2 linked regions of the Nothobranchius furzeri genome follow. The protein of the gene in region 2 purifies or fractionates together with the protein of the main gene of each other region. This does not show direct contact. Links are inferred from orthologs where the notes say so. Each region holds a gene or a part of one and is shown on either strand. Other genes may lie near its edges.

Region 1 (3,994 bases), on a different chromosome or scaffold from region 2:
AAGAGACTGCAGGCACTGATTTATGTCAGCAGGTCATGATGTGCATTGAGGAATAAAACATACGAGAAGCTAAATTATCATAATAAATAGCCTTTCTTCTAATAGAAATAATCTAACCTCACATTCAAATGTGTGATTAGGAGTTTAATCAAATAACATTTCTTTAAACAGTCGAACATTTGTTTAAATTGAACACGGACACTAAATAATTAAACTTAAACATGGTCAATCAGTCATATGATGGCTGCCATAAAGGTAGAAAAGAGCTGCCACAAAAGCAGAGATGTCCAAACAAATAGAACTGTTTTTGTTTTAGGGGCATTGCTGCTTGGACGCTAACCCTGACACCACACATGGGAGTTGTGAAAAAAAATTAACAAAGGTGTATCCTTTAAAGTGTTGAGATCACCGCTGTGTTTTGTCTTCCATCTTTACTTGTGTCAGCTTTTAAAAACACAAGACAAACGTAAGATTGTGTATTAGCTAGGATGAATATAAAAAATAAAACAAAACACTACAGACACATTTACAGGTAAACATAAAGATCATTTACTTCTGATTTTATACAGGAAGAACAGTCTTGACCTGTCACCTAAAAGATGCGTTCTAGTGTGTGTGTGTGTGCAAAACAGAATAAAATAATTATTTTTGACTTACAGAAACCAAACTGTGAGCCAAGGAAGAGAACAAACCCATAAATAGCTCTCTCGGGGACAGGAGACGGAGAGTTTTCAACCATGATCTGAAACCAAACAGGAAGCAGAGGAAATAAGCAAGCAACACAAACCAGAGTCTAAAACATCCTTAAATACTTCTGTCATCTTACCTCAGTTCATAAAATTTCCGAATTTTCACAACATTTGTGCCCCTACGTTTCTAAATAACGAGTAAATAAAGCTGGATTTCTAAAATAATACTAACAGGAAACATTTCCAACAAAACCTAAGAACAGCTGCGAGTTTGCACCAGCGTTAGTTCGGTCGGAAAAATTTCCCGGGTAAGCAGTTCCGCTTTTGATACACTAGACAAAAATATGACATCAAATTAAATTGTTTGAAGATTTACTAATTTATATGATTTAGTACATATTTACAGAAAATAAACATTTGAATATTAGAGTGCTTTCAAACTATGTAGAACGTTTCATACTGGGATGTCTTGTTCATATCGGACCCATTTGGCTGTTGCTCAGCCGGGAAAACGAACGCAGCATGGCTTCGGAATTTGCGAACTGAACGCAGAACCACGTTTATCTGCTGTTCTGTAAAAAATGAGCTGCTTGTTTACGTTAGTGTTTTATTTTTGATGCAGATTTTTGGTAAGGAGACATTACTTTAAGTGACAGCGGTAACAGCCATTGTCTATTGTTTTTGAAATGTCAGCATGGCTGACAACGTTTAGTTTAACAACTTCTTGTTAAAAAACACTTTCCATAATGTCTAAGGCGAAGAAGAAGAAAGCACATTCTGACCCTAAATCCACAGCTAAAGTTAAGAGGAAGGAGTTTTGGATAAAACACAACTCGAAAAACAAATTTCAGAAGATTTCAGCTCCTCAGAAGCACCAACCTCACCTGCCTACACCTCCAGAGGAGGCTCAGCAGTTCTCCTCTAACTGGAAAGCTCTCCAAGAGGTTTGTCTGTGCATCAGTGTGATGCTGGTGTGTATTTACAAAGTTAATCTGATTTTTCTGAAACCTTCCACAGATGCTAAATGCCAGTAAGCCAGAGAAGAAGCTCCCTGTGTCACCCAAACAGAATGTCTTTCCAAAGAAAACTTTAAAAAATATTCCCAAGACTCCCAGTGAAAAAGACAATGAGACTAAAGTCAAGCACACAGTTGCTCCTAAATTTGCCATTCAAAAGGAATCAGAGGTGAACTCTGATGTTCCAGCTGCCTCCAACACTCCGCAGCCAGCTGCTCCTAAAAGGAAACGGGACAAAGGAAAGTCCAACAGCGAGCAGAAAGCCAAGAGGAATAAACCAGTGGTAGAGGAGAGGAAGCCTACAGAGTGTGTACACCGTACTGATTTTAGAAGACATTGTGGACCAGAGTAGTTTTGTATTCCTAACTCTTTATTGTGTTTTGTTGCAGGGACGATCTTTGGTTCGATGATGTAGATCCTGATGATGCTGAGGAGACGTTGGGAGCAGAAGCTGCAGAGATCCTGAGGAGGAAACAGGGCAAACACCAGAGCAAAGACACAGAGAGCATGCTGGTGAAGGAGAAGTGTTTTGAGGGGTGAGTAGCTGTAAAAACAAGCTTCCTCTAGTGTGAACGCTGGACAGGACTTTATTTCCAGGATATGACTGACCACACGTTGTGTGAAACATTTAAAGTTTAAAAGGAAATTTTTTCAAGTTTGGCGCTAAAAGCTAAAGTGTAGTCATTGGTGGACACCCATTCCAAATTCATTCCTTAAATTTTGGATTTATGACTAGAACCACAAGTACTAGAATAGACTGTGCTGAGTATCAAAATAAATACTAAACCCAGGACCTTCTTGCTGCAAGGCAACTGCTCTATGTATACACATTTTAAGAAATAAAAAAAGAAGTAAAATAAAAAAATCTAGTCGAGCAGTGATGGGAATAACAATGTTTAAAATAACGGCATTACTAAAAAAATAGTTTTTTTTAATAACGAGTAATCTAATTATCGTCTTCTTTTATCATAACGCCGTTTACGTTACTGATAAGAAAATGCGAGCGTTAGTAATTCAGCAGCGTGGTGTGTTGAAGCTGTCAGCTGCTCGGGAGCTGAAGAGGCGGATGTTTTAATCCAAGTGCATCACGACCCGTGAAGAACGAGGAAGACGTGATGAATAGTCTACGGCTGCAGATCCGCAGATTCGCTGCTGCAGGCGTGAATCTGCAGCCGTGCCCTTCTTGCCGTGACAGCGGGACGTCCCGAAGGTCCGCTCACCTGTTCACCGCTCGGACATCACGATCTTCTACCTTCCTAGATCACCCAACTGTAACTTGTTTCTGCTCATTTCTTTAGCCCTGCTGTAACACTGATGCATCAGTCTCAGACGTCATGGTGCTCAGGTGTTATTAGAACTACCTGTGTGTCTTTACCACCCAGCTTCTGTGTTTGGGTCTGATCCAAATTAGTAAATTTAAGTCCTCCATCAGATTTGTGCCACTTCTAGTGCCATTTTAAAGGATTTATTTATTTATTTAACCATTACTAGATTACCAGCAACAGAAATGCTGCTAAAAACACACAATCATGTCAAGCTGGAAAAATGAGAATATTTTGCAAAATTACATTTATTACAGTAATTTGACTAGACTGAGAGACCATTTAAAGGCTCAGTAACCTTTACAGGTGTTTCTGTTTGCAATTATAAACTTTAGCTGATTGGGGTCTGGTTAAATATCACACAGTGACATTTTAATATTCTAGATTGGTGTAATATTCCTGTTTGTAGTTCCTCCTGTTAAGAGCCCATTTATTTAAATGATCCAGTTTTATAACAAACATTTGGACATATAATTTATTATGTTCCAGTCATTAGTCAGTTATAGTTTAGTATTGTAGTAATTTATAGTAAACTAAGTAAGTTTAATTAAGAGGGGAACCCATTTATCTTGCATTCTTTAATGAAAAAATGCAACAAAAATTTTTTTTTTTGGTAATTAGTTACTTTTATAATCTTGTAATTCGGTAAGTAACTGAGTTATTTTTTTGACAAAGTAAACAGTAACTATAACTAATTACCTTTTTAAAGTAACGTTCCCAACACTGGACATAGGTACCTACTGATGCATTTTATTTAAAATTTACTTGCCCGTGTGTAATTTGGTCATACCAGATTCAGTATTTATGCAAAAATAAGGTTGTTTCCAAATGAAAAGGTTCAACAGCTAGATCTGAGACCATGGTCTTGAGTCAGAAAAGGGTAGAATCCCTTTTCCGGGTCAGGGATGAGGTCCTGCCCCAAGTGGAGGAGTTTAAGTATCTCAGGGTCTTGTTCACGAGTGAGGGA
Region 2 (4,017 bases):
CTTATTGGTCATAAGTAGAGGTAATATATAGAGCTCTTAAAGCACTTCATTTACCACTCTACGTGTGTGTGTGTGTGTGTGTGTGTGTGTGTGTGTGTGTGTGTGTGTGTGTGTGTGTGTGTGTGTGTGTGTGTGTGTGTGTGAATGCTTTCAGGCATAAGGTAATACATTAGTTAATAGGATTAAAGTACTGGAATATAAAATTTCCGTAACAAACTGTGAGTGTAAGATTTTTTTATGTGTGACTGAAGTCATGCATTTTGTGTACTTGTACCCAATATTTTGAACTGGTGTATCTGTTGTTTTTGTACCTGTGAAAGATGTGATTTTTCTAAATATTTCTCTGTGACTTCAAGTTCCCAGGGATAAAAACACAAATGTTATTGCACCAAATATCTCCATAAGGATACGAGCTTCTGGACTTTTGCCTCAGCCAGGCTCATGGATGCGTCACCACCATCGACACACACATAGGTCGCCACATTGGAGACAGGAACAAGCACTATTCAGCCAAAGTTTCGTAACCAGGGAACATTTTCTAAGTGACAAGTCTCTCTGAGAGACCGGGTTTAGAAAACACTCGCTTCAGTGGGAGGAGTGAGTCTGTATGAGGCAACAGTCCAGAAGCTCATATCCTCTTCAGCTCAGAAAACTCCTATAGAGACATTTGTTGTTTGTTGTTTGTATTCATTCTAAGTGAGATAATTTAATTATAACGTTCTGGACACACTGGTCAGGTTGTTTAGACCGGTGCTTGAAGTGCAAAACACACACACACATAGCTGCCGGCAAAATTGTTTTCATTATTATGTTATTATTATAATTTCGGGTCTTTATCATTTTTGTTAATTTTAAAAGATGGCAATGTTGATGTTTAAAATTGGCATACAGATAAAAAAGAATGATGTAAAATAAAATACATTTTAAATAAATATTCATTAATTATTTTACAAGCACAGAGAGGCGCATGGGCATCAAATGGATGAAAGAGCCGACCCCTGGTCAACGGTAATCCCAGTTTAAATCCTGTACTGATGTATCAAAGTAGACTACTCATCAGAGATTAGAGGATGTGTTTTTATAATAATATAATATAATAATAATAAAATTATAATAATAATAATATAATAATAATAATAATAATATGATGATAATAATAATAATACAATTTTATTGGCTGATACTGAATGAGCGCTCTTCGCTTCCAGTCCAGAAGGTGGCGCTAGTGAACCTTTGCTTTTCTTTGTTTAACACCAGAAGAAGCGGCTCCGCGGTGTCAACATGGCCGAGCCAGAGTATGTATCTGTTTTCAATGCCATCGCGGTGCATCCGCCTTAGTTTCAGCTGTAATTAAACTCATCTGATGTTTATTATGTAGCGCAGCTGTTAACAGGCCAGCTCAGGTGTGTATGTGTGGCTTAGACGGCCAGGAAGCCGCCGATAGTGAGTTTTAGTCTCACATGGATGGGTTCGTGTTTATGTTTAGACGCTGAAGCCGGTTTACAAAGTTCCGGTGAAAACGTTAAAATGTTTCCGCTGGACGGATCCGACAGCGACAGCCTCCTCTTGTCTGAGTTGTTGTGTGGTTTTCCATCAGGTCTGAGAAGGTGATCAAGCTAGTTCCTGAGTTTCTCCTGAAGAAAAGGAAAACCTACCAGGCGATCAAAGCCACCCAGGCTAAGCTAGCTCTGCTGGAGAAGAGAAGGGTAAAGTGTGTGTGTGTGTGTGTGTGTGTGTGTGTGTGTGTGTGTGTGTGTGTGTGTGTGTGTGTCCCGATCAGTTCTTTTGCCCAGGAATCCGAGTCATTTGATTTTTTTGATAATCTGCCGATATGAGTCCCGATCCGATACATTCGGTAAAAAAATAAACAGATCCAGAATGTTCTTTAGTTTTTCTTTAATTAACCTTATTTTATCATTCAACAATTCTGTTTAAAAAAGAATCACTTCTGGGAGATATTTTGAACAATCAAGTAATAAATACAGTGTTTCCCTTAAAAATCTCTCCAGCTGTGGTGTGTGTGTGTGTGTGTGTGTGTGTGTGTGTGTGTAAAACACTGAAATGACAAATTCTTCACTTTTGGGCTTTAGTGCAAATATATAAAAGTCTAATATAAACCCTCAGGATTTCCCTCCCATCCCTTCTGTCGAAGCCTGTGGGAGTGTCCCATCTCTGGACCTCAAAGGTTCTGGGCTAGTTCAGCGCTGGTCCTCACACATGAAAGACAAACGTGTGTGTTCCTGATTCTAATCTGTACTCCTGGTTTCTGTAGATCTCAAAAGGAAAGCCTTTAAAGTTCAAGCGTTTGGAGGACTTCCTGAAAGACAGCCACAAGAAGCATCGTGATGACACTCGCCTCCAGAGGGCACACCACAGGCCACCTGCCCCGCTGCCGTCGGCCAAGAACAAACTGGCCTTCGTTGTTCGCATCAGAATGTGAGTGTCTGTCCAACGGGTGAGCGTGGTGGTTAGGGCAGTCTCTCTCTCTCTCTCTCACATACTGGGCGACGGTGGCACAGGAGTTAAGAGCTCGCCCTGTAATCGGAAGGTTGCAGGTTTGAGCCCCGCTCAGTCTGTCGCTGTCGTTGTGTCCTTGGGCAAGACACTTAACCCACCTAGCCTGCTGGTGGTGGTCAGAGGGACCGGTGGCGCCAGTGCTCGGCAGCCTCGCCTCTGTCAGTGTGACCCAGGGCAGCTGTGGCTACATCGTAGCTCATCCCCACCAGTGTGTGAATGGGTGAATGACTGATTGTGTTGTAAAGCGCCTTGGGGGGCTCCAGGACTCTAGAAGGCGCTATATCAAATACAGGCCATTTACCATTTACTCACTCACTCTCCCTCTCCACCTGTACAGTGTGTTTCCAGGTTGCTGAGATCAGCTGGTATAGAGACTGGCAAGGTTGGCAACTTGTTGACGTTGGTGAACAGGGACGCCGAACATAGCTCAAAACATAGCAAATGTATGGTAATGGTGATATATATCGGCATGTTGTACGGCTGGGCCATACGGCCTAAAATCAATCTCACGATATATTGCAGATTTCACTTCCATGTCAGTAAATGGGCTCTAGGGAGATTTTCTAATGGCAAATGCTGCGATTTGACTGGCAGCGAGTGGTTAGCCCAATGCTAATATACATGGAAAAACCCATAGGGATGCTAATATTGTCGATTACATTCTTACAAATTATGAATTAGAAATGTGCCAAGTGATTTGGAGTCTAATAAAAAGTAAAAAATACGTTCTGGTTCTGGCAGGGTCAAAGGTGTCAGCCCCAAAGTCATGAAGGTGATCCAGATGATGAGGCTGAGGAAGATCTTCAGCGGAGCCTTCATCAAGATCAACCAGACGTCCGTCTCCATGATGAGGATGGTGGAGCCCTACGTGGCGTGGGGGTGAGGCTTTCTGACTGCTGGGTCGGTAGGTTTGGTTCTGTGTCGCTCTGGGTGATGAACACTACCTTTCCCAGATATCCCAACCTGAAGTCAGTCCGGGAGCTCGTCCTGAAGAGAGGCCAGACCAGGATCGGCAGGAGAAGGGTTCCTCTGACAGACAACAACTTCATAGAGCAGCACATGGGTGCGTCACACTGCCCTGAGCTCCAGCTGGGAACACACACACACACCACACACACATCACACACACACACAGCGAGGCGCTGCGGATGGTTCACCAGGCTAGAGGACAGTCGCGTCAAAAGCACTTGCATTCATTATTTAAGTAAAGGTACAGACACGAGGGTTTTAAAGGACTTGTAGAAGTTCAAGCATCAATTCAAGCTTTTTATTCAAGTCAAATTATAAAAGTACTGGTTTCAAAACTACATCAAGTAAAAAAGTAGTAGTAACATTAATAAGCTTGGGTCACGTCCACCCACAGGACAACAGAGTTACCAGCAAAAGCACCTGGTTCTCAAAGTTCTTTCAGCCCTGCAACAATACGTGTGTGTGTGTGTCTGTGTGCGTGTGCGTGTGTGTGTGTGTGTGTCCGTGTGCGTGTGTGTGTGTGTGTGTCGC

Evidence for each region. Proteins that work in one complex are often made in the same cells at the same time.
Region 1: the proteins of rpl7l1 (region 2) and rexo4 purify together in Homo sapiens (affinity purification with mass spectrometry; 3 studies listed by BioGRID and IntAct, with this or other methods). This does not show direct contact. The link is inferred for Nothobranchius furzeri from reciprocal best matches to the Homo sapiens genes RPL7L1 and REXO4.

What each region holds. Positions count from the first base shown.
Region 1 is NC_091756.1:33,915,092-33,919,085, reverse strand, and holds the start of rexo4 (RNA exonuclease 4), read left to right. Parts: upstream 1-1,194; 5' UTR 1,195-1,435; coding exon 1,436-1,633; intron 1,634-1,706; coding exon 1,707-2,011; intron 2,012-2,094; coding exon 2,095-2,241; intron 2,242-3,994. Other genes in the region: pigp (phosphatidylinositol N-acetylglucosaminyltransferase subunit P), read right to left, coding at 658-739.
Region 2 is NC_091742.1:28,214,902-28,218,918, reverse strand, and holds the start of rpl7l1 (60S ribosomal protein L7-like 1), read left to right. Parts: upstream 1-1,217; 5' UTR 1,218-1,281; coding exon 1,282-1,295; intron 1,296-1,597; coding exon 1,598-1,706; intron 1,707-2,272; coding exon 2,273-2,436; intron 2,437-3,258; coding exon 3,259-3,396; intron 3,397-3,470; coding exon 3,471-3,580; intron 3,581-4,017.